Linked DNA regions of Oryzias latipes. The protein of the gene in region 2 purifies or fractionates together with the protein of the main gene of each other region. This does not show direct contact. Links are inferred from orthologs where the notes say so. Each region holds a gene or a part of one and is shown on either strand. Other genes may lie near its edges.

Region 1 (6,697 bases), on a different chromosome or scaffold from region 2:
ATGCTGCTAAATAATAATCTGCAAGTTGCTGCAGATCTTGGAGTTGAGTTTTGAGGACAGTCAGAGCAGCTGGGTCTCTGAGCCGGGGGGTATTCCAGGAAGCATGTTCAAACTACCCTGACTTTAAGCTTGAACTCTGGCTGAATTCCGCCTGAACTTGCTTACTCTGGGTATGTCAGTTCCAAAGGACCGGATATGAGTTGGCGTAATTACGCTCGACTTGGTAACCCTGGGTTAAAGCACGTGCACGGAAGGTACATAAAGACATTCTCAATGGATCATGTGGAGAACAAAAGAGAGCGCTATACTTCAGTGAGACGGAGTCTGAGATTTTAATGATGGCGAATGAAGATTATAAGTCCATCAAAAAAGTAACATGGCTGCATCATCAGCAAAAGAAAGAGTTTCTGCTTGGAGAAAAATAACAGACAAAGTAAACGCACAATTTTCTAGCTCATTTCTATTTTCATTGTGACGCATATATATACTGTATATATGTATATACTGTATGTATATATGTATATACTGTATGTATATATATATATATATATATATATATATATATATATATATATATATATATATATATAAAAAACATATCCAACTTTGCCAACTTAAATGAATTACTTCTATTGGTAACAAGTACCGGTAAATGAGTTAAATTTATTTAACCTAATTTCTTACGTGTATCCAACTCAATATTTTATTTACAACTCAAATTTACATATTATTTATTCAATTAAATGTTTTTTTCATCTTAATTTATTGTACTTCTTGAACTTTCATATGTGTAATTTTAAGCCTGCAGATATAGCTATTCTATAACAAGAAAATAAATAAAACAAAATCGATTTGCAACATGAAACATAGAAATCATATACCATGTCTCTGACTTTAACATTACATCACCTGGCAGTAGTGGTGCTAAATAAACTCATCATCCTCTCCCTCCCTCTCACTCATGGTGCAGAAAGAATTAAATATAACAGTACAAATAACTAGACAATACACAGTAAAACAGCTAAACAACTAAACACATTTGGTCAAAAAACCACACTTAAACCCAAATCTGTACAGACAGGCAAAGGGAATGATATCCCACAATTCCTTGTGGTGCTGATCTAACAGCAGCACCAAAGTTACACCTACGTAACCCTTGTGCTATCCTAGGCACTTTAACATTGGGAGTTGGGTCATCTAGACCCACTAGACCAGGGGTGTCAAACTCATTTTCACCGAGGGCAACATCAGCATAGTGTCTGTCCTCAAAGGGCCAGATATAACTTATACATGCAACTAAATGTAATGAAAAATAAACGTAACTTCTCCTTAATGTCAAATCACTAATTTATTTATTTATTGTAACTTTTAAAGTGACAGTTACAGCTGCATAGAAAACACATGTTTGCGTGTTACTCTAGCATAAATCCTTTTAAATTTTTTCCTGTCAGGTTAGGTTATATTGACAGTGTTTAAGTCCTAATGTTTAGTTGCCCAATCCCATATTTCAAGTCCAATTCCCCCTAGATATGAATAAATACACACCAATTTTTATTTTAAGAAAATAAAAACTTTTATGCTCTCGCAGGCCACATAAAATGACATGGAGGGCCACATTTGGCCCGGGGGCCTTCAGTTTGAACACATGTGCACTAGACAGGGTTCCAGAGCAGCTGAATGCTCTGCCCCCCATGGTGACAAGGCGAGCAGTGGGGACATCCAGATGAAGGGAGGAGGAGGATCTGAGGGTACGGGTGGGAATGGAATACCCCCCCGGACTCTGACCTTAGGTCAACAAAAACATCAACACAAATAACCACAGACAAGAAGAAGGGGGCTCGTGTTTGCTAGGAGCTGGTGTGCTGCTTTTCTACCTGCCAAACTTGCTCCATCATATCTATCAGATCTTGTTCATGTGGCCATTCTCACCCGTACCCTCAGATCCTCCTCCTCCCTTCATCTGGATGTCCCCACTGCTCGCCTTGTCACTATGGGGGGCAGAGCATTCAGCTGCTCTGGAACCCTGTCTAGTGCACATGTGTTCAAACTGAAGGCCCCCGGGCCAAATGTGGCCCTCCATGTCAGCATTCAGCTGCTCTGCCCCCCGGCTCTGGAACTCTCTATCTCCGGACCTCAGAAACATTGGGTCTCTCTCACAATTCGCTAAAACACTGAAAACTCATCTTTTCCAACTCGCCTATCCCCCCCCCCCCCCCATAACTTCCTATTTCTGGCCTATTTATATGTATATTTTATTGTGCATTCGATTGCTGTTATTTTATTTTCACTTTTATGTACAGCGACCTTGGGTGTTCTTGAAAGGCGCCTAACAAATAAAATTTATTATTATTATTATTATTATTGTTATTATTAAATGGACACGCCATTCTGCTTCACCTCTCTGTAAACAAACTAACCTTCAACTAAACCTGCTCCAGAGACCTCTGAACATAACCTGGTCCGGAGCAGGTTTACTCATTATTATAACAATAAAAAGGACGGGGAAAAAATGCACGGCGTGCATAAATTGATTAAAAAAATTTCCGTCGTAGACGTTACAGTAATAACTGGTAGGGGTGCTATGTAAACTCATCATCTTCTCCGTTGCTCTCACTCATGGTGGAGAGACATAAGCTTAGTAGGACAAAATAACTCGGTAAAACACAGTAAAAAAGCTAAACAACTAAACACATTGGGTCAAAAAGCCACACTTAAACCCAAATCCGTCCAGACAGGCAAAGGGAATGATATCCCACAATCCCTTGCGGTGCCGATCTAACAGCAGCACCAAAGTTACACCTAATTAATTGAATTAATTTGAATGAAAGTAAAAATAACTGTCTGAAATCTACATGTTATTTTTAAGCTGACTTAACAAAAAAAGTATATATATTAATTAAATAATTAAGTTAGATCAACAATGTAAAAAAGTTTATTTTTCCAACATCCATACGTGGTCTCATCACCCTCTCATGGTGGAAAAAGTATTACTGAGCTTCTTCATCCACTAAATCATCTTCAAATGGACACGCCATGCTGCTTCACCTCTCTAAAAACAAACTAACCTTCAGGTAAACCTGCTCCAGACCAGGTTATGTTCAGAGCATGAGTTGCTATGGCAACTTCATATCCTGAAACATACCTCCATTTCTGGAACCGAAAGCTGAGGTTATCAACTTCCTTAGCCTCAAACTTACCGTGGTAACTCACATAACCAACCTGCTTTCTGGAATACCCCCCCGGACCCTGACCTTAGGTCAACAAAAACAACATCACAAATAACCACAGACAAGAAGGGGGCTCGTGTTTGCTAGGAGCTGGTGTGCTGCTTTTCTACCTGCCAAAATTGTTGCCAATTCCCTGACTCAGGTGAATTTCAACATTCGTGGTGGGAACTTCTGTTTGCTTAGATGTCTCTTCAGCAGCTGAGTGCTGCTGTGTTCGCGGCTCCGGGGTTGCAGCTAAGCTAACCGGGGCCGACAGCGGCCCCCACCGCCTGGCTCCCGCCAACAGGCCCACACACACGCCCCGCGCCGTCTTACCTCATACAGTCACGGAATCAACTGGAACTCTGGGTGCAAATCTAGGAAAAATAAAACAAATAAAGTCCGTTTAAACGTCCTTGCTATTGTGTGACGTCACTTCCGTATTTGCCTCCGAGAACCGCCTACTTTTTCTTCTTCGTCTCTTCTTTGCCGTATTTCGCGGGGTAACTGCGTCAGCACCGCCACCTGCTGGACATTCAGCATTAATGCACATACTCTGGAAGGATTTCATGTGACCATTTTACCAGTGGCGGTTCTACACTGACTTACTCCCCGGGCGAGTAACCCCCCCTCCCCCGCATACACAAATTTCACGATATCCTTCTGTCTCTATCTTTATCTACCTTTATTTAACATTTTACACAAAATGCCTGAATTTTATAATTAGTATTAAAGGGGTATCAAACTCAGTCACACAGGGGGCCTAAATTAAAAACACGCTTTAGGTTTTGGGTCAAACAAGATAAACATTTACTGAACACACTAAAGCTAAACTTTTAAACTTTTTAAACTTAACTTTTTGAACATAAATATGAATAAAACAGACAGGAATATTAATACAGAATAAATCAAGTTAAACCTAAAATGACGTATAATATTTTGCCCTCCAAAAAAATATATTCTGTCAAAATTATACAGTTATGAACATGCCGCAGAACAAAACAAACAAAGTCTGGAAACTTTAATGATAAATCAAATCATGCCGTTTTCTCTGCTCTTTTGTCGTTTTTTTTAGCGCTGGACTCCTGGCATCAAGGCCTGTTCACACCGGGACGAATTTCGCCGGCGATTTTCGCCGACGTTTAACCCCTCGTGACTAAACAAAGGGCACCAACGAGAGTGTGCACACCGATGTGAAAAAATGCCACGCGTTAAAGCGTCAAAAAAAAAACGCCTCGGGTTCGTTTTTTTTTTTCGACGCGTCGCGTCGAAATCTACTCGACCAATGAGAATGGCGCTTTTGCTCACGTGTCTGAAGTTAGAGTAAAACACAACTTGGGGGCGCTCAAACACAAAACTGCCTTGCTGAGCACACATACCAGCGAAGAAGATAGACGCCAAGTAGCGTCTACACTGCCGCGAAGAAATAATGACGGACATTCTAAAACATCCCCGAACCAAGCACCAGTTGGAGCTACTGGTGCTTGAAATATTCATGTTTTCTTTGTTTGATTCTGACAAGCGTGTAAATACTTGCTCTCTTCTTCTGAGTGAAAAGCGACTTTAAGAAGCGTAAAGCTGCGCAGCGCCACCTTGTGTACAGGAGTATTTCTGTTTACATTAAGCGCCATCTAATGTCAGGGAATGAAATTGCATGTTCACTCCACTCATCGTCATCGAAAATCGCCTGGGTGTGAACACAAAAAACGTGGCGAAAAACGCTGGCGAATAACGCCTGGCGAATATTCGTCCCGGTGTGTACGGGCCTTCATTTTTATCAATCAGCTAATTTCTTGGTGTGTGATGTCCTGTGTTGTGTCTTTGTGAAACAGATTAGAGGGATTAGTGTTTTTTTTTTTTTTTAAAAACTGTTATTGTGAATATAATAAAACATTATAAAACATTAAAAACTAAATGATAGAACTCATCACTGATTACTCCCAAAATATTTGCCATTTTCCTAATTTTGTGCAACACCAACAGTAAAAATCCTCCAAAAAACCTTAAAACATTAATAAACAAATGATTGATTGTTTATTTATTATCTCAAAAAGTGCAGCTGTTTTACTGCATTACCTGCTGTCTTCATGTCAAATACTGAAACCAACTAAACCACAGAAAATACACCTAATAAAAATAAATACAATTGTTAGTAAATAATAACATTATTAATGTGAACTAAGTGATCCAACGGCACGTGATGATCCAGGTGTTGCATTGTCGAAGCTGCCCTCCTCGCAGCCTGCGCCCACCCCCTGCTCTTTTCCATCTCTGAGACAGGAGTCTCAGTTGGTTTGGGACAGTCGGTTTAGGCTGTTCCAAAGTCTGTGAAATATAGAAAACCGATACTGGCTCAATTTTTCTTTTCTTCCAAGCACGGGGATGCCGCCCCCCATTAAAATTTGCGCCCCGGGCAATTGCCCGTATTGCCCAGGCCCAATACCACTACTGCATTTCACTGTCAATTTGACCATCTACAGCCAATGGTCACATGACTGGACTGCGTGGCTCCTCCCGCTAGCCCCTCCCACTGGAGTCAGCAGGAAGTACCTGCCGGCTCCAAGAAACCAAAACCCCATAGACTTCAATAGAGAACTAAACAGCTATTACTGTCATTTAATTGATCAGAATAGCTATTCTGGATCTGATACATTTTTTTTCGGTGGTACAAGCTATTCAAGTTACAAACCTCTATCCATCCCTCCATCCATCCCTCCATCCATCCCTCCATCCAGCCCTCCCTCCATCCCTCCATCCATCCATCTGTCCATCCATCCATCCCTCCCTCCTTCGGTCCATCACTCCATCCCTCCAACCATCCATCCATCCATCCACCCCTCCATCCATCCCTCCCTCGGTCCATCCCTCCATCCATCCCCCCATCCCTCCATCCCTCCATCCATCCATCCATCCCTCCCTCGGTCCATCCCTCCATCCATCCCCCCATCCCTCCATCCCTCCATCCATCCCTCCATCCATCACTCCCTCCATCCCTCCCTCGGTCCATCCCTCCATCCATCCCCCCATCCCTCCATCCATCCCCCCATCCCTCCATCCATCCCTCCATCCACCCATCCATCCATCCCTCCATCCATCCCCCCATCCCTCCATCCACCCATCCATCCAATTTAGAGTAATTATTGCACCTATGCAGCATGTTTTTGAAGCATGGGAAGGGGCTGGAGTTCCCGGAGAAACCCGGACATGCATGGGGAGAACATGCAATCTCCACAAAGAAAGGTCCTCGCAGGTCACTGCACCACCGTGCAAGCCCATCAACAGAATCATTGCTGTTGTGTTGATGTGAGTTTGTTACAGTGTTTACAGCGGACAGATAATAATTGAGGCTCAATCTTCAGATCTTCCAGACTGAAGGCACAGTTGAAAACAAACGCTGCTTTACAGTTGCTGTCCAACAGATGGGGCCGTAAAGCAGCCACTGATAAACCGACAGTGTAAGAGGTTATTCTGTGCTTTGATTTGATGATAAA
Region 2 (5,689 bases):
TGTGTTAAATTCTTCTTGTTGTTTTTTTAGCATAATGTTAGCAGATGTTCTGTCATAAGATTTCAAACAAATCATTTTGATCTTTACTTCTGTGTTCATCTGTTTTGCCATCTTTGTTACTCTCAGACAATCAAAAATTGTAAACATTTTATGAATTTCTTTTGATAAAATGTCATAGATGACATTTTATAAAATGTCATAGTCATGCACTATGACTGACAGAAATAGCACTTATGTTAACTTTCCTTCAGTTTAGTTAAACTTAAATTGGGCTTCCCAGCACCAATTTAGAGTTTTGATGGTTTTAAGAAAACTATGTAATGACTATGTTTACTTATCCTTAGTGTGTGTGTTTTTTTTCCAGTGTGGTTATGATGTTTACACTTGGGAGCATAGTTGTTTCTCGTAAGCAAAACTGCCATAACAATTTAACTCTGCTGTAGACCCGTCCTGACTTATCTACTTCCAACACAAACTGTTTTTACCACTTCTTTGAAAGCTCTCAGTGAAGAGTCAGAGACAACATCTCTTTCGAGGCCACCATACTGTGAGTCACCAGCCAGGGAATGAGTGTCTGTTGGGAGCGGATGGGAGACGTCTAAGCTGTAGCTAGTGCTGAAGGAATTAGAAGATTATACACTCATCGTTTCAGGATGTTTCCCACTCTCTGAAAAGTGGTGCTGACTTAGAACATTTGCACCGCAATCCTAATGGCACTTAAAATGCAGCTGACGAAGCTGAGAGTTTTTTTTAGAGCTTCTTAAGTCTAGGGACCCATGAATTAAGTATTTGACACTATTTTGTACCCCTAAACTGTAACTATACACCAAGTATTACCTTCTGATACCCAATTACTTCTTGAATTAGGGGGATTCGTGCATGTTTTTCAGTTTTTTTGTTTGTTTTTGTTATTTAATTGTGATGTGTTTTTTTTTACCCAATTATAGTATTTTTAATTTTTCTTCCTACTCTTCCTTCCTTTAGGCTGTTGGATGAATTTAAAAGCCACATTGAAGAATTAAAGCAGTTAGATGAGAAGATTCAGCGAAAGGTGGAAAAGCTAGAGGATCAGTGTCATGGAGAGGCCAAGGACTTTGCCCGCAAAGTGCAAGACCTCCAGAGGAGTAACCAGGTCTGTTTGCTGAAAGAAAACAACATCGTACAAACTTTATTCTCTTTGGTTAACCGCTAGATCTTCGTTTTGTGTCATGTCAGGTGGCCTTTCAGCATTTCCAAGAACTCGATGAACACATAAGCTACGTTGCCACCAAGGTTTGTCACCTAGGTGACCAGCTGGAGGGGGTGAATACTCCTCGCCAGAGGGCCGTGGAAGCTCAGCGTCTCATGACTTACTTTAACGAGTTTTTGGATGGAGATCTGCGTAGCGATGTTTTCAATGACCCAGACAAGGTGAGATTATCGTCTAGTTTCTTTTTTTTTTTTTTTTTTGCTGTCATATATGAAGAGGTATGTGTGGGTGTGAAACCACTGATGAGGGGCCCTGCTGGGAAACTGCTGTAGGTGAGTTTGAACAGGATTATGAGTTGAACCATCCATGGAAATTTATAAAGTTTATCCCTTTAGTTGGATCCCTCAGTTAATTTGGATTAATAAACTGTCATTTGCTGTCTGACAATAGCCGGCTGACTGACTAGCATGGATGTCAACACGCTCATGTCAAACCTAATTGCATGTAAAGTGGGATGACTGGGATCAAGAATTTGATTGGTCAGCTTTGCAACACACAGAAAGTTTGTTGCAACACATTTTTTTAGTCATGGAAAAAATGATTCAATGTTTTCTCAGAACAAGTGACCCCAGAGAGTTTGATTCTGCAAAGTAGACACATTGGGGTTTTTTTTGGGTTTTATGTGTGTTTGATGCAACATCTCAACCAGATGCAGAGAGGGAGGTTTGAGGGTCAATCCCACAGACGAGAGCTTGAGATTGAGCCATGCATGCAGATGTATCAAGCCAGATTCCTTTTTCCTGAGCATACCTCCATATGAGGAGGAAAGAGAAAAACTGCAAGTGAATAGCTGAAGGGGAATGGCTTTGCTAATCCTTCTGAAAGGGAGGGCTGGGCCGCCAGCGTGGAGACAAGTGCTGCTAAACCCTGACTGCAGGGAGACGGCTACATTACTTACATGGGATTTAGCTAATCTTAGCTGGGGGACAGATACTTAGAAAACCTTCGCCGAGCAGAAAGGCTGGATCCTCCTCACGGGAGCAGAGTAATGATGTTAGCTGAGACAGGCATCTGCAGGAACAGAGGAGTTGCGGACAGCGGACCTTTTGCGGGTCTGGAGGTTTTTTCGCCAGCATGTATGTCAGGAGAGGTGGAGAGGGCGGGGTGGAGGGGTATCTCGGCAGGGCCCCCTTTTTTTTAGACAGATATCCCTGGCCGGACAGATTATTGAAGGCAATTCAGACTCCTGTGGGATTACAGCCCATTCAGGAAAAAGCCATCCCAATAAAGACTTGGATGTGCTGCTAAGTCAGGACTGCTGCTGTTGCTGCTGCTGATGCCCAGGTGAGCGCAGCCTGTCTGTTATCAGCTCCCTGTTAAACACAGGAAGGTGGAGGAAGGCTGCTCTAAGATGATGATCCCCCAAGTGGAGACACTGCCGGCGGCCGCCCACTTGATAATGGATGTCCACCTCTAATGGCTTTGTTGTGCTCCCTCTCTCCTCCTCCCTCAGCTGGCATCTCCCTCGCTCCCTCTCAAACACACACTTGTTCCCTCTCTTTCAGATTAAGGAAGCTGCTGATATAATTCAGAAGCTGCATCTCATTGCCCAGGAGCTGCCATTTGACAGGTGAGTCAGGCATCCTGGAGGCAGCTTTAGACAAGAGCGCTGTCAAACAAGAAGGAGGAGGTGTATTAGTCTATTCCTGAAAAGTGTAAGCCCCACAGAAACATTAAGCATTAGATGGTATTATTGACTAAGATGCCCCCAAAGAAACTTTCCTTCTGTTTTTTTTATATCTATTGTTTCTAATTGCGCACTTTATCTGTAACAGATTTGCAGATGTCAAAGCAAAAATTGCAAGTAAGTTTCTGACCGGGTCGATCGTCCTCCATTTTTACTACGATGTAACACGCGTTTGCGACATTTTAAGGTTCTGTTTTCATTCCTGCCCAGGCAAATACCACGACCTGGAGAGGCAGTTAATCCAGGAGTTTACTGCAGCCCAGCGCAGGGGTGAGATTGGTCGTATGCGGGAGGTTGCAGCAGTTCTATTACATTTCAAGGTGACCTGGAAAAGACATCTGAAGACACGTTGACTGAGTGTTGGAGTCATAGCCTGTCTGAAAACATCAACTTTGAATGTTATAGTCATTTTCTTGGACTATCAAGGTGGTAACGCCTGTGTTTGTCTAAATAGGGTTATGCACACTGCGTGGACGTCTACATCAAGCAGTGTCAGGAAGTGAGTACTTCAAGTTTGGCAAGAAAAAAGTCTGCCTTTGACTTGGCTGCTTTAATTGACCCATTTTTTGTTGTTGTTCCTGTCTCAGGGTGCCTACACGAGGAACGATGTGTTTGAAGACACCGCAGCGCTTTGCCAGAGGGTCAACAAGCAGGTGGCCGAGGTCTTCAGCAGTCCAGAGACAGTCATGGCTAAACTCATCCAGAATATCTTTGAAAACAAACTACAGGTATGTTTTCCAGTGATTGAGTTTGGATGTGCCATTACTTAAACATTTGTTGATTTTTGGCTGGCTGTTTATTTTACAGGCGCACGTTAGAGAGAAACTGGATGGAACTCGACAGTCTGATGCAGAACAGTACCTCAAAAACCTCTATGACCTTTACACCAGGTGGTTTTGCTTGTCTTTTTCTAATTTACTTCCTGTATGCTCTATAACTCTAACACTTTTTGTTCTTATCTGTTTCTTTTCTGACCTTTCAGGACCACAGCATTGGCTACCAAGCTAACAGAGTTCAACCTTGGTTCAGACAAGCATACGTTCCTTTCCAAGCTGATAAAAAGCATCTTTTCCTCTTATTTGGAAAGTTACATTGACATGGAAAGGGAATACCTTCGTAATCGAGGTGCCATGATTCTGCAACGATACTATGACTCAAAGAATCACCAGAAACGTGCAATAGGCTCTGGCAGGTACGATTTAGCATAAACGTCATGAAGCATTTCAGAATCAGAAATACTTTATTGATCCCATACGTGGGAAATTTGTTCGTTACCATAACAACTGACAGGAGAAAAGACTAAGAATAATATAATTAATAATATAATTTAAAAAAAAAACAAGAACAAGGAAAATGTGGTATCATTTAAAGAGCCATTTTTGGTCTCAAATAAACGTTAGGGTTTCATACAAAAAGATCAAAATGCTAAACGTTTTTTTGTTTTTACTTTAGTATTCAGGAGCTCAAGGAGCGCATCAGACAGCGCACCAACCTTCCACTGGGCCCCAGCCTTGACACCCATGGAGAGACCTTCCTGTCCCCCGAGCTGGTTGTTAATCTGCTGCAGGAGACTCGGCACGCGTTTGAGAGGTGTCACAGGGTGAGCCTCTTCTCCTTCTGTAACGTGAAGGAACATGTATAAACGCAGACTTTGGTGATTTTTTGTTTTGTTTTATTACAGCTTTCAGATCCATCTGATCTGCCTAAAAATGCCTACTCCATCTTCCTACTGCTGGTTGAACATCTGTGTGTGGACCACATCGACTACGCTCTGGAGATTGGCCTTTCAGGTACTTCTGATGAACCAAATTGTACTCTTAAACTGCTTTCTGAGGGCTCATTCTTCTCACTATTAGGAGCTTCAAAGCAGTAGATTCAGGAAGTTGGGACATTAAATAAAGCATAACCTGAGGATCTCCCACAATAATGAAGAGCTAGAAACATTTTAGAGCTAGAATCTCTTTTTCACTAGCCGATAAGCATTAACATTTAATGATCAATATAGCTTAAGTTTGCGTTTGCTGCATTTTTCCTAAATTTTCAGCGATTCCCTCATCCGATGCCAAGAATGCCAACCTGTACTTCCTGGATGTTGTTCAACAGGCAAACTCCATCTTCCACTTGTTTGACAAGCAGTTTAATGACCAGCTGATGCCTCTTATAAGGTCAGTTGTGGTTAAGAATTATCATCTTTGTTTGTTATGCATACTCAGATTTCAAATTACCTTATTTATTTATTTATTTATTTTTGGGGGGGTTCTTTGAATTAAATTTTCTAAACCTGTCTTCAGTTCATCTCCAAAGCTGGCAGAGTGCTTGCAGAAGAAGAAAGAAGTGATCGAACAGATGGAAGTAAAACTGGACACTGGAATTGACAGGTGATTCTTTTTATTTATTTATTTTTTAAGCCATTGATCAACTTTTTTGTTTTTTATTTTGTTTTTTAACAGAAACCAATAATATATGTTTTTGTTATGCACAGAACACTAAACTGTATGGTGGGGCAAATGAAGCACATCCTGGCAACAGAGCAGAAAAAAACAGATTTCCGGCCCGAGGATGAAAACAATGTCATGATCCAGTACACCACAGTAAGAGATGCTTAGCTCGCACGCAGAACAAACAACGCATTGGATGCAATTCATAAAAATCACTTCCAGACTTTTTCCCAACTAGTTCTTCTCGTTTCCCTGACAGGCCTGCTCAAAGGTCTGCGCATACGTCAGTCGGCAGGTGGAGCACGTGCGCAAGTC
Region 3 (6,056 bases), on a different chromosome or scaffold from region 2:
CCTAAGTATTGCATTCACAGCTTCCGATAACCTATTGATGATTATCTTGGCCATAATCTTGCTGGGGATGGACAGAAGGGTGATACCACGCCAGTTGTTACATTCGCTGAGTGTGCCCTTCTTTGGAATTTTGATGATTACACCTTTAGTCCATTCTTCTGGTATGCTTGCTGATATCCAAACGGTTTTGAAAAAAGGTTGCAATATTTTTGATGCTGTTTCTGTGTCCGTCTTGAACAGTTCAGCATTCAAATTGTCGTGACCTGGTGCTTTATTGCTTTTCAGTGACTTGATAACTGAGACAATTTCCTCCTTTGTTGGTGGGTCTGTGTTGATGTCTAGGTCTGTCTTTCCTTCTGGAATATCTGCTCCTTCTGTTGGTGGATCTCTGTTCAAAACTTCCTGAAAATGTTCAGCCCAGCGGGTATCTTGTTCTGCTTCTGTTGTGAGAAGCTTCCCCTGTTTATCTTTAATTGGTAAGCTGACAGTAGAGTGGTGTTTTCCACATACTTGTCGACTAATTCTGTACAGCTGGCCTTGTTCTCCTCGGGTTGTAGCTCTTTCTGCCTCCTCAGCAAGCTCCTCAATATATGCTCGTCGATCGGCGCGCACCATTCATTTTACTGTCTTATTGGCTTAAAAAGCAGTGGCTACTCAACACAAAAAAGCTGAACCTTACGGTAAAAGGAGAAACTGAGATGGTTCGTTCTCCAGCTAATATGAGATTCTGCACTTATCTCTGTGTCTCCAGGTTTGTTTCTATTGGTTTGCAAAATTCCAGGCAGATTCTCGCCATTCTCCTCTGTCATTTGGCAGGAACTGTCTTCCTGTTCAATATTTCTCTCTCCTGTCCCCCACTGTAGCTAAAATCTATCAAATTCTTGACATGAGCAGGCTGGAAAGGAAGAAATGGATGCCTGGCACTGACTTGAAATTTGAATTCCCTTTGGGTGCTCGTGTTTGTGTATCTGCCATGATGTTTTCAGACAGACAGGTGGTGGGTGGACGTCTGCAGAGCTACACAAAGGAGCAAACCTTGAGATGCCAGCATGGCTCCTGCAGTCTCGTGGAAGTCCAGCAGCTGCTGCAGGAACAGAATGGCCTGAACGGAGACAGAGAGCTCAAACAAGCGGCAAATAACCGGAGAGGCAGTGCAGAGCAGAAACCAAGCTTACGTTGCTGGTGAGCTCATGCACTGTTCCATCTTTGGGCATGTTGTACTCTTTATCAGGATCATTCTGTAGTTAGTGGAGAGAAAACCCATGTAAATGACCAGCAGCCAATAGACAAGGGGTGGTTTAAGTGGGAGCCGCATGCCTTAATGCTGTCTGCAAACTCTTCCAGTGCTTTGGCTCCAATCGTCTCCATGGACGTGATGAGCGTTGGCAGTTTGTTCTTGGTGCTCGCCGCCGTTCCCTGCACGTCAAATCAAGTACAGTCGCTAAACACCCCAAGACCAGCTTCTTCCAGAAATGAGACGCCGCAGACCCAACCTGAAGTGTGGAGTCAAAGTCTGACTTGTTCATCTTCAGATGTCTGAGGATGGGGAAGATGGTGAGCACCGCCGAGTAGTCGTGGCGCATGATGGCCCTGCGAGCTGCAGACACAATGTTGTCTCCTTCCAGCATCAGGTTGTCCAATGCTTCCTGTGGACAGACATGATGAAACTGAGCATGCAACCAGAATGTGGCTTAGGGAAAAATGTCCTGCTTTTAATCATTAAAATCCTTTCAGCCAGATAAAAGGTGTCCGTGTCTATGGTAATCTATGGTATCAATGGTCAGATACGGTGAAGAAAAACAGTAAGAGTGACTAAAGAGTTTTTAGCGTCAACTGCTCATCTACTGGACACTCAACCAACAAACAGAGAATGACCTAAAAAAGGAAAAAAACTGGATGGTTGATGTCAGCAATCAGAGGAGAATGAGGTTTCAAATTTGATTGTTGCTTTGGTTTATTTTTTCTTGACTGTGGAGTTTCATTACTGTAGATGGTAGGGAAACCTTTAGCAAATGACCAACACCTGGAACCTCAGGTGGATGTTCTACAGAAGCTTTACTTTCAACAGCAGCACCTGATTAAATCCTCAAGAGCCCTTCCTGCATATCTGATGCTGTACTTCTGCCCGGTGATTACAGATAAAAGGATTGTTGAATACTTTTGTGTCACTACGTCTAACCCCTAAAACCAAATTGTCTGGGAAATCCTCAATGAAAGCTCCCTGGTTTGACTCCTCTGACCTGGATGAGGGAGTCAAAGGTCTTCTTCTGGTGGTGTTCAGGGATGATCTCGGTCAGCAGGGCGTACTCGCTCTGAGCCAGCTTCACAAAGGCACTGATGCAGTGGATGTAGGAGTCGATCTCGATGTCAAGAACATCGTCTTTCCCTAAGAGTTGCATAACAAGAGCTCCCGTCAGCTGACAAAACATAAGACAAGGATCTAAACAACAACTTCAGCCCGGAGTTTAACTTCTTACTTTATAAGAACTTGATTGTTAAAGGAAGAAACTGAGCTGAGGTTGCCTCTCTGATCAACCTCTGAACTTCTGGAATTCGTCACTCACCTGGGGCAGCCCCATGCTTCTCAGTCAGGGCCTCAGTGATGTGTTTGACCCGTGGGTCATGATCGTAACCTGGTGGGTGGGGCGGGCCAGCAGGGAGACTAGTCAAAACGAGGTCAAGACTAGGCTAAGAGGGGGGAGAGGGGACAAACCTGACCTGAACCGCCCACCACCAAGCACCAGAGAGAAAAGGCAGGGCGTGCCCACCCAAGATGAGTGAAATGTAAACTGGTTCTGAACCAGTCTACATGTTAAACTGTGGGACAAAAACCAGCTTCAAATGTCACAACAGCTTTGGATTCATTGCAGCTTTTGACAGATTTCCTGATGGGAAAATGGGAAAACCCCACGTCTGACACCAGTTTATCAGTTGGATGGGAGTTTAAGCAGAAAATGAATTCTTCTTTCCTGATAACTTCCCGACCCGACTTGATTGAAAGCTATTAATGGGAGAAAGGTCTCATGTGTTCATGGTCTACCGGTGCGAAGCCCATTGAGACGACTGTTGTTTGAATTTGGGCTCTACAAATAAACTTGAATTGAATTGATGCATAAATGAATCAATCAAAAAAGACATTTTAAAGAAGTAAGAGGTCAGATTTGGGTGCTTGTGCCACTTTTGACTTTATCTTCATCATATCAAACCTTTTAATTTCATTACTGATGGGATTGCTGGTTAATCTGTAGGTTTTCTAAAAACATGTCTTTGTGGGGGCAAAGGACGGAGTGGAGACTGAATTACATTGGAATAATTGAACTTAACATTGTTGGTGTAAATGCATTTATTTTGCATTTTTAGACAACCTAATATTCAAAGCCGGGTCAACTAAAATAAAAAATCCGTTTGAACTTTATTAAAAGAAATTTTTTTAGCAGAGCCAATTGACTTCAAGTGAGGTTTGTGTTAAAAACGCCTGAAGACAAATGTTTGCTTTAAAGCAGTGAAGCAAAAACATATTTGTCAGCCACAGATTCCTCAGGTCGTCCCTCTAAAAAGCTGAGTTTGGTCTGAGATGTTCATCATAGAAACACTTTAATGTGAGAGACAAAATGTAAAGAAAGAATGCAGGAAATCACAATGTCTGATCTTTAAATAATGATTGTATAATGGAGCAGAAAATAAGGATTCATCTAGAAGCCAGCAAGGATTCAGTTCCTCACAGACCCGTTCCTCCTTCTTTAAGAAGCTCTTCTATCCTCCACTGGTTACCTGTGTTCATGTCACCTGTTTGAACTGGTTACCTGTAGAAAAGACACCTGTCCACACCCTTATACAGGCAGACCTCTCCACCAAGGAGCTGTCTGAGGACACCAGGGACAAGTTTGTACACAGTCCAGAACTACAGGGGGAGCCGGTCAACGACCGGCCTGATCCGTATGAAGCAAAAGGGGAATTGGGTCACGTATGGGGAGATTTTGGACAAAAACCTCCTTCCAATAGGGAGAACATCAGGGATGGAACATGTCTGGATCTTCCAGCATTACTAAAAGAATCCCCCAAAGATCACCCAGCAAAGTAAAGAGTGTCTAAAGGATTTCAGGGTTCTAGAGTGTTCCAACGGTCCCTGGACCTCAATCCATGGAGAATCTGTGGAGGGAGTGGTTGCCCAGCAACAGCCCCAAAAACAGCACAGCTCTAGAGAAGATCTGCATGGAAGAATGGACCAAATTAGCAACTACAGTTCAGATCGTCTGAAAATCTTCAGGAAACCTTGTGGGGAACAGGAGCCAGCCTTGTGCTGTTTCTTACTATATAATGTTTTTTTCAACTTTTTTTTACTATTTCCCTGATGAACCACCCACAATGGAACTGCTACTGACAGTTACAAAAAGTCTATCGGTTCCAAACCTTTGACCTCTGTCATTGGAACCACATTACAAAGTACTGAGATGAACTTTTCTCAGTGACTGAACATTTATTTTCTGCTCTATTATACAAAGAAACTCAAACATTGTGCTTTCTGGATTCTGTATTCACATTGTGTCAAAATGTTTCTATAATGAACATTGCAGACCAAAGTCAGCTTTTTCAGAGGGATAACTTGCAGAATGGTTCCGTTCATCGTGAGTGCTGTCCATCATGTGTCCAATGATCTGAAGCGGTACAGTCTAGAAGCTGCTTTGGCCGGCTGTTGGGACTTTGTGTTTGACTGAAACCAGCTGGAAAAAAGAGACAGAGAAGACCAAGGTGCTTTACCTTCCAAAGGAGTGAGGTTAGAACCCCCCTTTTTCCCATCCAGCCCATGCTGTGAGTACTGTTTCAGAAGGTTCTGAGCCTTGCGAATGGTCCCTGGTCCCACAAACACAGAGAAAGAGTCCAGAGGAGAGGAGTGGGGCCAGCAAGGTCCAGACAACCAAGAAACACCAGAAGAAAGAGGAAGAAGAAAAAGAAGCGGGAAACGAGTGTGATGAAAGGCAGACACCACATCCCTCCACCAATGGGGCAACCAGCAGGGTTTGTTTTTGGGGTGGGGGAGAGGGAGCACCACCTATAGCACCAAAACCAGTCAACCCAACAACAGCACTACAGGACTGCTGTGTGGAAACACACATGTAAGAAAGCACACAGGTTAGGTCACAGGTCATACATGAACATCAGCAGATCATAATCAGATGACATCCAGAAAACATTACAGCACGAACGCAGCCTCAGCGCATTGTGGGTTGGTAGGCAGGTGGAACATTTGGAGCTGCGCTCATTCCTTTTCCTTACCTTAAAGTACAGAAATGCAAATGACAAAGCAGCAGACGGCGGGCGGCTCTATCACACGTGCAGCCAATGACAACAAACGTGAGCAACTGGACGTCCGATGGCTTCCTCGCCCTGCATAGCGTTCAAGTCAGCGACGTCCCGATTACAAACAGGACATTGTCCCCCTACTTCGTCCGTCTACGTCCTGATTAATGTCCTGTTTACAAATAGGACATTGTCCCCCTACTGCGTCAGTCTACATCCTAAATACAAACAGGAAATTGTCCCCCTACTGTGTCCGTCTACGTCCTGATTGTTGTCCTGATTACAAACAGGACATCGTCCCCCTACTGCAACCGTCTACGTCCTGATAAATGTCCTGATTACAAACAGGACATCGTCCCCCTACTTCGTCCGTCTACGTCCTGATTACAAACAGGATATCGTCCCCCTACTGCGTCAGTCTACATCCTAAATACAAACAGGAAATTGTCCCCCTACTGCGTCCGTCTACGTCCTGATTAATGTCCTGATTACAAATAGGACATTGTCCCCCTACTGCGTCTGTCTACGTCCTAATTACAAACAGGAAACCGTCCCCCTACTGCGTCCGTCTACGTCCTGATTAATGTCCTAATTACAAACAGGACATCGTCCCCCTACTGCGTCCATCTACGTCCTGATTAATGTCCTAATTACAAACAGGACATCGTCCCCCTACTGCGTCAGTCTACATCCTAAATACAAATAGGACATTGTCCCCTTACTTCGTCCGTCTACATCCTGATTAATGTCCTGATTAC
Region 4 (6,056 bases), on a different chromosome or scaffold from region 2:
CTTCCCCTCCCTGTTTCTGAGAGCTCTCTGTTTACACTCTCTCCCGCTAGCTTACAACCCCTCCCATCCCCAACCTAACATTACATTACCAGCATACCAAAAATGCTAAGCAATCTCAGAGCTGTCCAGCTATAAAGTTTTGAGCCAGCGTAGATTAGCAACCCTGCCCCCCTTCCCCTCCCGTTGCAGAGCAAAGCAGGAAACTTGTAGCCCCCCCCAGTGTATTTTCAACATCACAAACAAGTCTATTTCTAACGCCTCCTGCTTCACAATGACTTGAATAAAGAAATACTCAGAAATGTAATTTTAAGCTTAATTTTCATATTATTTGTCCTCCATCTTGAGAAAAATGAGAACCTGTTAAAATGACCAGAAACCCCATTTTCCATCGGAGTGGGTCTTTAAGCCAACTGACAGACACATGAGATCTTCAGCTACTATTAAATCTATTGACTGTTGCTGTAAAAACTGTGTTACGGTGTGTGTTTCTCTCAACACGCCTGACAAATGTGTTGAACTTAGGCTTTTATAAACTGTCTGGAGCAGCTGAGCATGAAAACGGATGGAGACATCCAAGTCTCTCAGTGAGTATCTTTTTAAAATGATCTTTGAGATGATTGTGCTTTAGGGAATGATTTTAAAGTTGTTGGTTTGTCTGCAGCAACATTTCTGTAGATCTGTCCTCTCCAGACCGCTTCGCAGCCGCCCACGAGGACTTCAGTCCAACTTCAGTAAGCAAAATGCCGTTTCTCTGACTTCCACTCAGCAGTTTGGGGTCCACAACTGACAGGGGCCAGAACAGCCTTTGACACATGTTGACGAACGCGGGCGGCACACTCGTCAGAACCACAAACCTTTATCTGTCTGTTTCCTGGTTGTGGACACGCAGCAGCTACGTCCTCATTTCCTGTAACTCGTTTTGAGAGGTTGGTGAAGGGGGTTAAGCGGTGGGGTGGAGGACGGGGTGGAGGAAGAGCAGGGTATGAAGTGCTTCTGGTAAAGGGAAATGGAGCAAGGTGCAGACGGGGCTTCCCCAGCCTGAATGTGTGCAGCGGGAGTCAGGCAGCCGAGCTCGACTACACAGCGCTGAAGACCGGTGTGAACTGAGGGGTCGGAGCGTTGCTCGATAGGGAGGTGCTAAACACGTAATCTCTCTTTTCTGTTTTCGTGTTCGCCTCAGCAGAGGATAAACAAGGTCTTTCTAGTAAAGTAGAGAATTTTTCAAAATAAAGCGTCAGCCCTGTATGAGTGTCTGTGGGTTTGTCCTTCATTAAAATGAGCTTTTGTGTTATTTTGTCAATTATCATTTTTTTATGTTGTGGTTGAAAGTATACAAGTATACAAGACAATAGGGAAGATTTGAAACTATGTGATGATATTGTACTGTTATGCAACCCGAATCTGAAATTGTGTTGATCTGAAAAAACACAAAACAGGCCTTGAAGCTGCAAATGCATTGGTCTCTGCTTCCGCTCCTCTGAAGAGCCAAAACTGCTGTGAAGCTCTCCACAAATGTGAGCAGGATGTAAACATACAGTGGTGGACAAGATTGTTGGTACCCCTCAGTTAAAGAAAGAAAGTCCACAATGCTCATTGAAATGACTTGAAACATTCAAAAGTAACAATAAATCCAGAGTGGACTTCATGGGAGGTGACCAAGGAGGACACCACTGTTGAAAGGAAATCATAAAAAAGCCAGACTGGAATTTGAAAAAATGCATGTTGACAAGCCACAAAGCTTCTGGGAAAATGTCCTTTGGACAGATGAGACCAAACTGGAGCTTTTTGGTAAGGCACATCAGCTCTATGTTGGTAGACTCAAAAATGAAGCATACAACGAAAAGAACACTGTCCCTACTGTGAAACATGGAGGAGGCTCAGTTCTGTTTTGGGGCTGCTTTGCTGCATCTGGCACAGGGTGTCTTGAAGTTGTGCAAGGTAAAATGAAATCTTAAGATTATCAAGGCATTCTGGATAGAAATGTGCTGCCTAGTGTCAGAAAGCTTGGTCTCAGTCGCAGGTCATGGGTCTTCCAACAGGACAACTATCCAAAACACACAGCCAAAAACCCCCAAGAAAAGCTAAGAGAAAAGCGTTGGACTATTCTGAAGTGGCCTTCTATGAGCCCAGATCTGAATCCCATTGAACATCTGTGGAAGGAGCTGAAACATTCCATTTGGAGAAGACACCCGTCAAACCTGGGACAACTGGAGCAGTTTGCTCATGAGGAGTGGGCCAAAATACCTGTGGACAGGAGCAGAAGGCTCATTGACAAATACAAAAACTGTTTAATTGCAGTGATTGACTCAAAAGGTTGTGCAACAAAATATTAAGTTACGGGTGCCATCATTTTTGTCCAGCCCTATTTCATTAGTTTAAACAAAAAAAGAATTCTGTTAATCAACAACTCAAAAGTAATGGCTGATTTTGATTATCAAATTTTCAATAAATTTTAATTTATTGTTACTTTTGAACATTTCAAGTCATTTCAGTGAGCATCGTGGACTTTCTTTCTTTAACTGAGGGGTACCAACAATTTTGTCCATCACTGTACATCTATTTTAGGTGTGGTTCAAATACACGCATAGGGATGTTATTTTATATTCTCTAATACAGTCAATGGTCCACCCCTGCTTACCCCATCCTTACCCCTGAAAAAGGAGGGATTGAAATAGACTTTATCACTTATTTTCATCCCCCCCCCCTCATCTCAGAGGTCTTTTAATTATTTTATGCCATTTTTAGGCAAAGTCTAAAAACCTGTGTTAGTTTCTAGGACATAGTTTCTGTAGAGCAGCAGTCGTTCATTAGAAACTCTCCTCTGAGTTGTGGGTGGGACCGTTGGCGTGAACCAAACCCCTTCCCTCCCGGTGGCTGAGAGCTTTAAGCAGGGAGCGTTTGGCGTATTTTCTACAGCTAAAAAAGCTAATTTTCAAACTTCATTTTTTTTTCTGTTCCTGATTCGCAACGATTTGAATAAAGAAATACTGAGAAATGCAATTAATTTCTTTATATACATGTCCTCCATCTTTAGAAAAATGCCACAGACACATGTTAAAATACCAAAACACCATTTTCTGCAAACTAGGTCTTCAAAAACATGTGATTATTTAACAAAACGAGTTTGTGCTGGAACAAGGTCTTGGGCTTAAATTACAATCTAACTTTTCCTTTCTTTTATGAACAGGAGCAGCGTTTGCTGATCATTCTGAGCAACTGCCAGTACCTGGAGAGACGCACCTTCCTGAACTTGGCGGATCACTTTGAAAAGCACGGCTTCACGGGAACAGAGAAGATCACGCGGGTCAGTACCTGCTGCTGTGACCTGCAGCTGTTACACTCCTATTGAGGAGAAGTGTGGAGGCGTCATGAGAAGAAAACAAACTACAACAACTAAACTGATCTGTGTGTTTTTTTTCGTTTCTCAGCAAAGGGATGACTAATGAAAAGAAAAAGTCACACTTTTCACCTCTGTTCTCAACATAGTCACACTGCTGCACACAATGACTAATGGCTGAATCACAAAGCTAAGAAGGGTTTGATCTGTTGATTTTCCTGTAAAAACTCACTTTATTTGAAAGATTAAGTTAAAAGTTTGAATTAGACCCGAAAGCATGATGCCTATGATAATTTGTCTAGACTGCTGAGCTGTGCTGCTCCACATTAAACACATTTAACGGTAAACAAGAAAAAGAAGAAAGTATTGAAGGGTTGTACCACTGCTGCACATGCTGCCTTTACAGCATTATTAATAGGAGCTGGTGTCAGAGCAGCATAAATAATGCTAGCAGCTGCTCACAAACACACCATGTGACCAGTTCAGATTGTGCTAACTTATGTAGTGTGCTAAGTTGGTTCTTTTACTCTTTGTCTCAGTCTGGTTTCTTTGCAGTGTTACTCCAATGTCAGATTGAAGGATATACAAGATTTTAAAAAAATCCATCTTGATGCCTGAAAAATTAATTTAGGAGGGTTTAGACCTATTATTTATAAATAAAAATTGGGGGGGGGGGGGGTCTATTTCAATTAAGCCTCAGTTCAAACCATTGACTATATTTGAGAACTGGACTGAGTGACTCCTCCCCCCTTGCATTCCAAACAGGAAGTACCTGCTGGTTCCAAGAAGCTAGACTTTTTCAGAGAAATAAACGGCTATTGCTCAATCATTCCATTTGTAGGAATAACCGTTCTTACTCTGCTACATTTTTTGCTAATCCTCTTTATTTACCATTATTATTATTCTTTATTTCAAGTTATTCAAGTATATTCACTGAACAATCAGATGCCTCAATGAAGGTATGCGTTTTAAGTCAATTGTTTGAAAAGTTTGATTGACAGATTCTACCAAGACCACTTTCAAAAGATAGGGGTGTGACCTTTCAACAAGCTTACTCCTGGTTGGCAAGAGTGGTCGCCATAGAAACGATGACTCAAACTGATTTGGACCAATCACTGCTTACTTACGATTTCTGGCTCCAACATGGCAACATCTACATTGCGAAAAAATGGCGACTGAATTGACTTCATTTGGTTGGAGCCAGAACAAAGTCAGTCCAGTTCTCCTTTATAGTCAATGGCGTAAGCCAACTCTTTCATAATATTTAATTCCATCTCTCTTCCAGCCAAGAATTAAGCTGATGGCAAAGAAAAAAATAGTCGATCATAGTATTAAACCTTTTTTCTTTTCTTTTTGAAAATCTTTGTGTTTCTCCACACTGCAGAACAACACAAAGAGGAAAAAAGATTCATAATAACACATTTCAATTTTTCTGCTTTAGGTTATGCTTATGGATGTGTTTAAGACCCAGGTCTGGATGTCACTTTGCTCCTCAGCCAAGCATGTCAAAGGATAGTAAACATTAGATCCGTTCAAACAGAATCTCTCTGGAATGAAAGCATAAGTACTGCATTCTGCTGCTCTAAAAGTGCAGGAATGGATCCAATGTTAAACGGACATTTAGCACACATTTGTTTGTTTGTACATTTGTTCACACTGGACTGTCACTACCCATACTAGCGCATGTGCCTAAAGTTGGAAGAGGCTTGGTTCGAAATGTCAAAGCCCTGCAAACCTTATGAATCTTGCTACAATTCTCACAGTTCTATTCTGAGATATGAAAGACTTGCTGTCATAGAATAACGGCTGAGCCCAACGTGCAGCTGTTAATTTCTCTTCCACGATCAATTTTCAAACGTTGGGCACTTCCGTCAATTAAAGGGATGCCATCCATGCGTCACTACCAAATCAGAGTCTCTGATTGGTCAAAGATCAAACTTGTTTAACTTTCAACATGCTTTTGATGACAGCATGTTTTGTACATGGAGCCTAAAAACAGTCCTAAAATTGTGCGTAGCGACACATGAATGCTAAAGTGTTGAACACAGATGCCCTAACGCACATATATGTGCGTTTACAAAGACTTTTCAATGGAAGTGATCTCTTGAACGTGTTGCAGATGGCGATGTAAGCAGCTTAATCCACTTTTTATTCTTTTTAATTTCTTTTTTACTTTCCACTTACAAGGTCATGTCCAAAGAAATAGATGACAGCAGCCATCTTTCTCTTTCCCTCCTCGTCCTCCAGGTGAGCATGGACGCCATCCGAGAGCTGGACCGGAAACTCTTTGAAGCTTACATCGAGCGGCGTGCCGACCCCATCGCCGGCTCCCTAGAGCCTGGAATCTACGCTGGATACTTTGACTGGAGGGACTGCCAGACGCCGTCAGGTATCACCTGATGAATGCCAGGAGCCGCGTTTGAGACCATGAGGGAAACCCCCACCATCACCACTCATTGACCCAAGGAGCATGAGAGATCAGCCACCAGCAGACTTGTTTAGTCAAAACCTGGTGACTTTGGTCTCTTCAGCTCAGTTGTGGTTAGAGTGTGTCATGTATGAAGTACAGCTCTTTGAAGCCTTACTGTAAACACTGCTGAGTTCATGCTCTCGCTCTTCTTCCTCAAGCTCTCACGGCCTTTTCTGTGGAGGTGTGGGTGTGAAGTAATTTTTTACTTTACATTGACATTTCTCCCTCAAGCTTTACAAACAAAGGTGA
Region 5 (6,056 bases), on a different chromosome or scaffold from region 2:
TATATATATATATATATTTTTTTTTTTTTTTTTTTAACTTGTCCTGTCCAACAGCTAGGCAAACAGATGAGAGCTGAGGGCCTCTTGTGTTGGACATATTTTAACAAGAGGGGTTATTCATCTTCAGACAAACCAAAGGTATGTCTGAATAAACCCCTTTTGTAATTGAGGCCAAACTTTATTAATTTCAATCATGTTTGAAAATCTTTGGTGTTGGACTGGACGGAAAAGGAAAGAGGGGAAGAAGAGAGAGGGACGTTAGAGAGAGGGGGGGGTAGGAGGGTGATAATAGGAGGGGAAGGGGGGTAAGACCATGAAGCAGCATAGAGCAGACAGGTTTACTGGTTGTTTATCGTTACGGTACGGTTCAAATGTAGTACAAAAAGGGCGGGGCCTGTTCACACACACTCAAATATTATCAACACACCTGCTAGCCGCAAAAATGTCCACATGTCAACATGCACACAAAACAGATAGTGTTCACGAACGCATACCTATGCCTTTAAACCAACTAGTGTGAAATCTTTCATTCATTCAATCATGCAAACTATTAGTGCAAAGGTGAGCTAACACCTGTGCTCAGGTGAGTGTTTATGTTCTTCTAAAATGGATGGTGGAATGTGAAAAGAAGGAGGAGGAGCGCCCAGCCACCCCCACACCCAGACCCCCGCCGCAGCAGCAGCGGCAGCCGGAATTCCCCCAATGCCACACGGGAACAGGCAGGGAACAACCGCCCCCCGGGCGACCAAGACCGCCACCCAGGCCAGGGCCAGCAGGACCGCCGCGAGGCCCCCAGAGCCAGAGAGCAGGGAGGCGCAGAGGGAAAGAGAGCGCCGCCCCAGCCCAGCCAGGAAAGCAGCCCCCCGCCGCGCCGGAAGAGCCCAACGCAGGGCCCCACCGGAGAGGGACGCCCACAGCCCCAGACGAGCACCCCACCACCACCCAGGAGTTCCGGGCATCCCCCCGCCCCGACCCCAGGTACGAGCCAGGACCCCCCAAGGGAGACCCGCTCCGCACTCCAGGCAGCCACCCACCCGGCCCACGGTTGGTCCAGGTAGGAGCAAGGCAGGGGCCCGCCGCCCCCGCCCAGGAGGGGGGAACCCCGGGGAAAAAAGGGCGGCCCACAAGGGATGTTATAAATATGGCCCGACCAGGCTCGGCCATGTTGGAAGTTTGGCGGGGCCCAGCGCCCAGGGGCAAGGACCAGGACCCACCCCCCAGGGACACGAACACCCCCGGCTCAGGTGTAATATGAACCCCCCCACCGCATGCTTATATTATTGTTATGGTTATTATGAAGCGCCTGTTAGCTCATCATTTTATTTTTTATCCGTGTGGTCAGTGCTTTTTTGCGGCAGAACGAAACCGGAAGAATGGTTAGGTGAAGGCTAACATGCGCTAACAACAACATTTAGCCTGGATGAACATAAAATTGATGCAGGAAATGCCACAATCTGCAGCTTGGCTGAACGTAAATATGTGGGAATAACATAAGCCTTTCTTTTGTCAGGACACGACTAGAAACACAAATCCACGTGTTTGAACGGTTTCTAAGGACTGAGCGGCATTTTGCTTTGAAGAGCTCACACACTGCCAAAAAGCCGCTGTGTGAGATGGAGACGTGGTTCTCCTGAATTCGGCTGCTCGTTCACATAGTGCTGCGGGACAGATGGCAGTCTGTAGCCTCCCTCCCGTAACAAAGCATCCTCCCCGCCCCTCGAACACAAAAAATTAAGTCCGGCTGCGCTGCTCAGAGACACGGTTCGCTCCGTCCACCAGCAGCCGCGCCCCGCGTGCAGGGACTGGACGTCAGGGGGCACGAAGTGCTCTTCCCTGGTGCCCCCCTCGCGAGGGGTGTCGGAGAAGATAGGAAGGGAAAGACAAGGAGCCCGCGGGGCAAGGGCGGAGCGCAGAGGCGTCCGCGGAGCAACGGTGTGACACTGTTGTGGAAGGAAACTTCTAGCGCATGCCGCGCTGATAGGGGCGCTTTAAAGTCACTACTGCTCTCTTTTACTGGTATGTTTTATTAACCAGCCCCTTTACTACCATATTGCTGCCGCGGAAGGAGATAGGAGCTGCTCTCCCGTTCTCCCCTCCTTCCGTTGCAGCTCCCTCCTCTTTTTTAAACATGCACGCGGTTTCAGCACATATACAGTGAGGTCAATAAGTATTTGATTACCCTGTGATTTAGAAAGTTCTCCCACGTTCTCCCAGAAAACATGGAGGGGTCTAAAATTTTTATCATAGGTGCATTTCCACAGTGAGAGACAGAATCTGAAAAAACATTCAGAAATCATGTTGTACAATTTTTTTAAACAATTTATTTGTACATTACTGTGACAAATAAGTATTTGATCACTTGGGTTAAACAACTTTAATATTTGGTACAGAAGCCTTTGTTAACAATTACAGAGGTCAAACGGTTCCTGTAGTTCTTCACTAGGTTTCTACACACTGCAGCAGGGATTTTGGCCCACTCCTCCACACAGATCTTCTCTAGATCTGTCAGGGTTCGGGGCTGTCGCAGAGCAACACGGAGTTTCAGCTCCCTCCAAAGGTTCTCTATTGGATTTAGGTCTGGAGACTGGCTAAGCCACTCCAGAACCTTAATATGCTTCTTACGGAGCCACTCCTTGGTTTTCTTGGCTGTGTGCTTCGGGTCATTGTCATTCTGAAAGACCCAGCCATGACCCATCTACAACGCTCTGACTGAGGTAAGGAGCTTTTTTCTCAATATCTCACAATACAGAGCCCAGTTCATCCTCTCCTTCACACAGTGCAGTCGTCCTGTCCCCTGTGCAGATGATACTTCCACCCCCGTGCTTCACTGTAGGTATAGTGTTCTTGGGATGATGCTCCTCCTTTCTCCTCCAAACACGCCGAATGGAGTTAAGACCAAAAAGTTCTATTTTGATATGCTTCTTACAAGGCTTCTTACTGACCACAAGACTTTCTCCCATGACTCCTCTGGATCATCAAGATGGTCATTGGCAAACTTCAGACGGGGCTTGACATGGGCTGACTTCAGCAGGGGAACCTTCCATGCGATACATGATTTTAAACCATGACGTTTTAATGTATTACTTATAGTAGCCTTGGAAACGGTGGTCCCACCTCTCTTCAGGTCATTGACCAGCTCCTCCTGTGTAGTCCTGGGCTGATTCTTCCCCTTCCTTAGCATCATCGATACCCCACAAGGTGAGATCTTGCAAGGGGCCCCAGTCCGAGGGACATTGACAGTCATCATTAGCCTCTTCCATTTTCTGACAATTGCTCCAACAGTTGTTCTTTTCTCACCAAGCTGCTTGGCAATTGCCCCGTAGCCACTTCCAGCTTTATGAAGGTCTACAATTTTATCTCTTGCGTCTTATGACAGCTCTTTGGTTTTGCCCATGTTGATAGTTAGACTTCTGACTGATTGTGGGGGGGGGCACAGGTGCCTTTATGCAAGCTAACCACCTCAAACAGGTGCCACTAATTTAGAATCATGAGCAGAGTGGAGTTGGACTATTTAAAAGCAGAACAGCAGGTCTTTGCTGATCAGAAATCTATCTGATAATCAAGTGATCAAATACTTATTTTTCACAGTAATATACAAATAAATCGTTTAAAAAAAAATCATACAACGTGATTTCTGAATGTTTCTTCAGATTCTGTCTCTCACTGTGGAAATGCACCTATGATGAAAATTTTAGACCCCTCCATGTTTTCTAAGAGGGAGAACTTGCTAAATCACAGGGTGATCAAATACTTATTGACCTCACTGTACATCCTCAATCTACAACACAGTGTGGCGACCTGAGGGATAGCCCCACCTTAAGCCCCCAAGACTCATGGGAAGTGAGTAATGACCATTTTGTTGTTCAGTTATTTAATTTGTCCAATTACTTACCAGCCCATGAAATGAAGGGATTGTGTTTAGAAAATGCTTTAGTTTTTCACATCTATGTCAACATATTTATGGTCCTGACTGTAGGTGGATTGATGGTCATGTTCATGTATTTTATACCAATTGCAGTTGTCACCTTAACCCCCAGCTTCTTGCTGATGGTTCTGCAAATCATTCTGGTCTTGTGCAAGAGTACAATCGTCGCCCTTTAATCCACTGAAAGCTCTTTAGTGTTTCCCATGTTGGAGAGTTTGGAGTCTGACTAATGGACTGATTCTGTGGACAGGCGTCTTCAATTCAGGTAACAGGTTGATTAAGCGAATCTAATTGGTCTGTGCGAAACAGAACTCTTAATGGTTACTTGGGCATCAAATACCGTACTTATTTCCCTCAGTGAAATGCAAATAAATGCATATTAATTCATTAAAGACATTTTCAATTTCTCACTGTTCAAATGAACCTATCATTAGGATGACAGGCTGTCTATTTTTAAGTAAGCAAACCTTCAAAATCAGCAAGGTATCAAAAAAGTATTTCCTCCATGATTATTTTAAAAAGAAAAGTTCGTACTTGAATTTTTTTTACATGGAAATACAACATTAAATCCACATCTCATAGCAGCTTTTAGATGTCTCTGACTGTATTCTTCCTTTTTTTGTAAACCTCAGCAGAAGTACTGGTAAAGAAGTTCTAATAATGGCGAGTGTGTTACCTGGTGGACAAACACGTTGTTGAGGTGATTGGTGAGGCGGCGGGCAAATGTGTCCCTCAGATCGGTAAACATCTGCTGCTGTTGTTTCACAGACAACAGCTTTTCATGGCCTGAACAGAGAAAGGTGCACAACTTTCCATTCAAACGAAGACAAAAAACAGACGATCACGATAACAAGGCTTCATGTAAATTTACCTGGTCGGAGGGCAACATTCATGCACTGCAGAAGGGCTTCAGAGGCGTTGATGCAGGCCTCAATTCCTTTAGAGGAGGTGAGGTCCCCATCCTGCAGAGCTCTGATGTGTCCCTTAGACAAGTCCATGTAATTCTGCATGAAAAAGTGAGTCAAAGCCCATCTGAGAAACTCAAGCTCAATTCTCTGACACCTCTGGACTGATTCAAAGAATTTGTTACCACTAAGAACTGGATCTCATCCAGAAGTTTGCCGTTGTTAGTGTTGCTGATTTGAATTAGGCGGTTGCTCTGAGAGATCTGGTCCATCTGCTCCTTGACGCTCTGAAGCATTTCCTCATAGCTACTCAGTTTCCCCTCTATGGTGTCCACCTCTCCAAGTGCCTCATCTAGCAGCTGCATCAGGATATTCACCTGCTTCTCTGACGCCATGATGGACTGAATGTTGGCCTAAAAGAGACAGAAGATGAATATTGACAAAGATGATAAATATGGCTCTGAAATAGTTGGTTGTATTACTCACCCCATCTAAGACCTGCAGTTCCTTGAAGAGCTTTTCTGCAAAAGCCTCAGCGTTAGAGATGGCATACTCGCACATCTCCATCATGCTCTCAATGTCCTGCTCCTCTCGGGTGCTGAGCTCCTGGTAGTCATCCAAAGCATCCTCATCGCCCCCTGCGACACTTTGACTCTCGCCACTTGGCACAGACTCTGAATAAACAAACAGAAAAACAAACAAAAACACAAGACGAAGGCTTATAAACATAATCAGAGATTTCAGGACAAACTTAAGTCTCGTCAGTTCTGGGATACCTGAATGTGCACTACCTTGAAATAGTTTTGAAGAAGTACATGTTTACAATGACTAAAATAATCACAAAATGGAAACAACCTACGGTAGTGAGATGAAGACAACAGAATAAAAATGTCTACTTATGAAATAAAACTAGAAAAAAGAATCAGTAACTTCTAAGGTAAAAGAAACTGAACTAGAGCCTTAGTCACATGCTCCCATATGGGGGTTGATCAGTAGAGGTGCTGCGGCTTTTTGGGTTATCCAGGCCCATGAAAGTCATAAAGAGAAGCGGCTGCATCTTAAAGAGAGTGCAGGTTCGTTTGGCAGTTCTCTTGAGGCTCATATCATTGTCTTGTGTGAAGTAAGTGTATTGTGAAGTATTTGTAAGGAGAATGCGAGGTACATGCATTTATGACGCACTGGTGATACAGTCGTACAGTGTACTAAATGCCACACTCCAGTCATTA

The links.
Region 1: the proteins of exoc5 (region 2) and exoc3 purify together in Homo sapiens (affinity purification with mass spectrometry; 7 studies listed by BioGRID and IntAct, counting the BioPlex papers as one, with this or other methods). This does not show direct contact. The link is inferred for Oryzias latipes from reciprocal best matches to the Homo sapiens genes EXOC5 and EXOC3.
Region 3: the proteins of exoc5 (region 2) and exoc7 fractionate together in Homo sapiens (co-fractionation; 4 studies listed by BioGRID and IntAct, with this or other methods). This does not show direct contact. The link is inferred for Oryzias latipes from reciprocal best matches to the Homo sapiens genes EXOC5 and EXOC7.
Region 4: the proteins of exoc5 (region 2) and exoc2 fractionate together in Homo sapiens (co-fractionation; 4 studies listed by BioGRID and IntAct, with this or other methods). This does not show direct contact. The link is inferred for Oryzias latipes from reciprocal best matches to the Homo sapiens genes EXOC5 and EXOC2.
Region 5: the proteins of exoc5 (region 2) and exoc1 purify together in Homo sapiens (affinity purification with mass spectrometry; 4 studies listed by BioGRID and IntAct, counting the BioPlex papers as one, with this or other methods). This does not show direct contact. The link is inferred for Oryzias latipes from reciprocal best matches to the Homo sapiens genes EXOC5 and EXOC1.

Annotation. Positions count from the first base shown.
Region 1 is NC_019875.2:4,992,911-4,999,607, reverse strand, and holds the start of exoc3 (exocyst complex component 3), read right to left. Parts: upstream 3,675-6,697; 5' UTR 3,543-3,674; intron 1-3,542. UniProt on the Homo sapiens protein: Component of the exocyst complex involved in the docking of exocytic vesicles with fusion sites on the plasma membrane.
Region 2 is NC_019880.2:12,940,771-12,946,459, reverse strand, and holds part of exoc5 (exocyst complex component 5), read left to right. Parts: intron 1-984; coding exon 985-1,132; intron 1,133-1,215; coding exon 1,216-1,410; intron 1,411-2,754; coding exon 2,755-2,819; intron 2,820-3,024; coding exon 3,025-3,053; intron 3,054-3,146; coding exon 3,147-3,256; intron 3,257-3,390; coding exon 3,391-3,435; intron 3,436-3,523; coding exon 3,524-3,664; intron 3,665-3,743; coding exon 3,744-3,826; intron 3,827-3,918; coding exon 3,919-4,128; intron 4,129-4,388; coding exon 4,389-4,536; intron 4,537-4,617; coding exon 4,618-4,726; intron 4,727-4,980; coding exon 4,981-5,101; intron 5,102-5,227; coding exon 5,228-5,314; intron 5,315-5,418; coding exon 5,419-5,527; intron 5,528-5,633; coding exon 5,634-5,689. UniProt on the Homo sapiens protein: Component of the exocyst complex involved in the docking of exocytic vesicles with fusion sites on the plasma membrane.
Region 3 is NC_019877.2:22,402,419-22,408,474, forward strand, and holds part of exoc7 (exocyst complex component 7), read right to left. Parts: intron 4,852-6,056; coding exon 4,759-4,851; intron 2,634-4,758; coding exon 2,565-2,633; intron 2,387-2,564; coding exon 2,241-2,386; intron 1,647-2,240; coding exon 1,494-1,646; intron 1,417-1,493; coding exon 1,318-1,416; intron 1,239-1,317; coding exon 1,176-1,238; intron 1,103-1,175; coding exon 1,036-1,102; intron 1-1,035. UniProt on the Homo sapiens protein: Component of the exocyst complex involved in the docking of exocytic vesicles with fusion sites on the plasma membrane.
Region 4 is NC_019862.2:21,226,396-21,232,451, forward strand, and holds part of exoc2 (exocyst complex component 2), read left to right. Parts: intron 1-522; coding exon 523-584; intron 585-661; coding exon 662-731; intron 732-3,187; coding exon 3,188-3,304; intron 3,305-5,584; coding exon 5,585-5,726; intron 5,727-6,056. UniProt on the Homo sapiens protein: Component of the exocyst complex involved in the docking of exocytic vesicles with fusion sites on the plasma membrane.
Region 5 is NC_019862.2:96,829-102,884, forward strand, and holds part of exoc1 (exocyst complex component 1), read right to left. Parts: intron 5,505-6,056; coding exon 5,317-5,504; intron 5,244-5,316; coding exon 5,016-5,243; intron 4,930-5,015; coding exon 4,797-4,929; intron 4,712-4,796; coding exon 4,602-4,711; intron 1-4,601.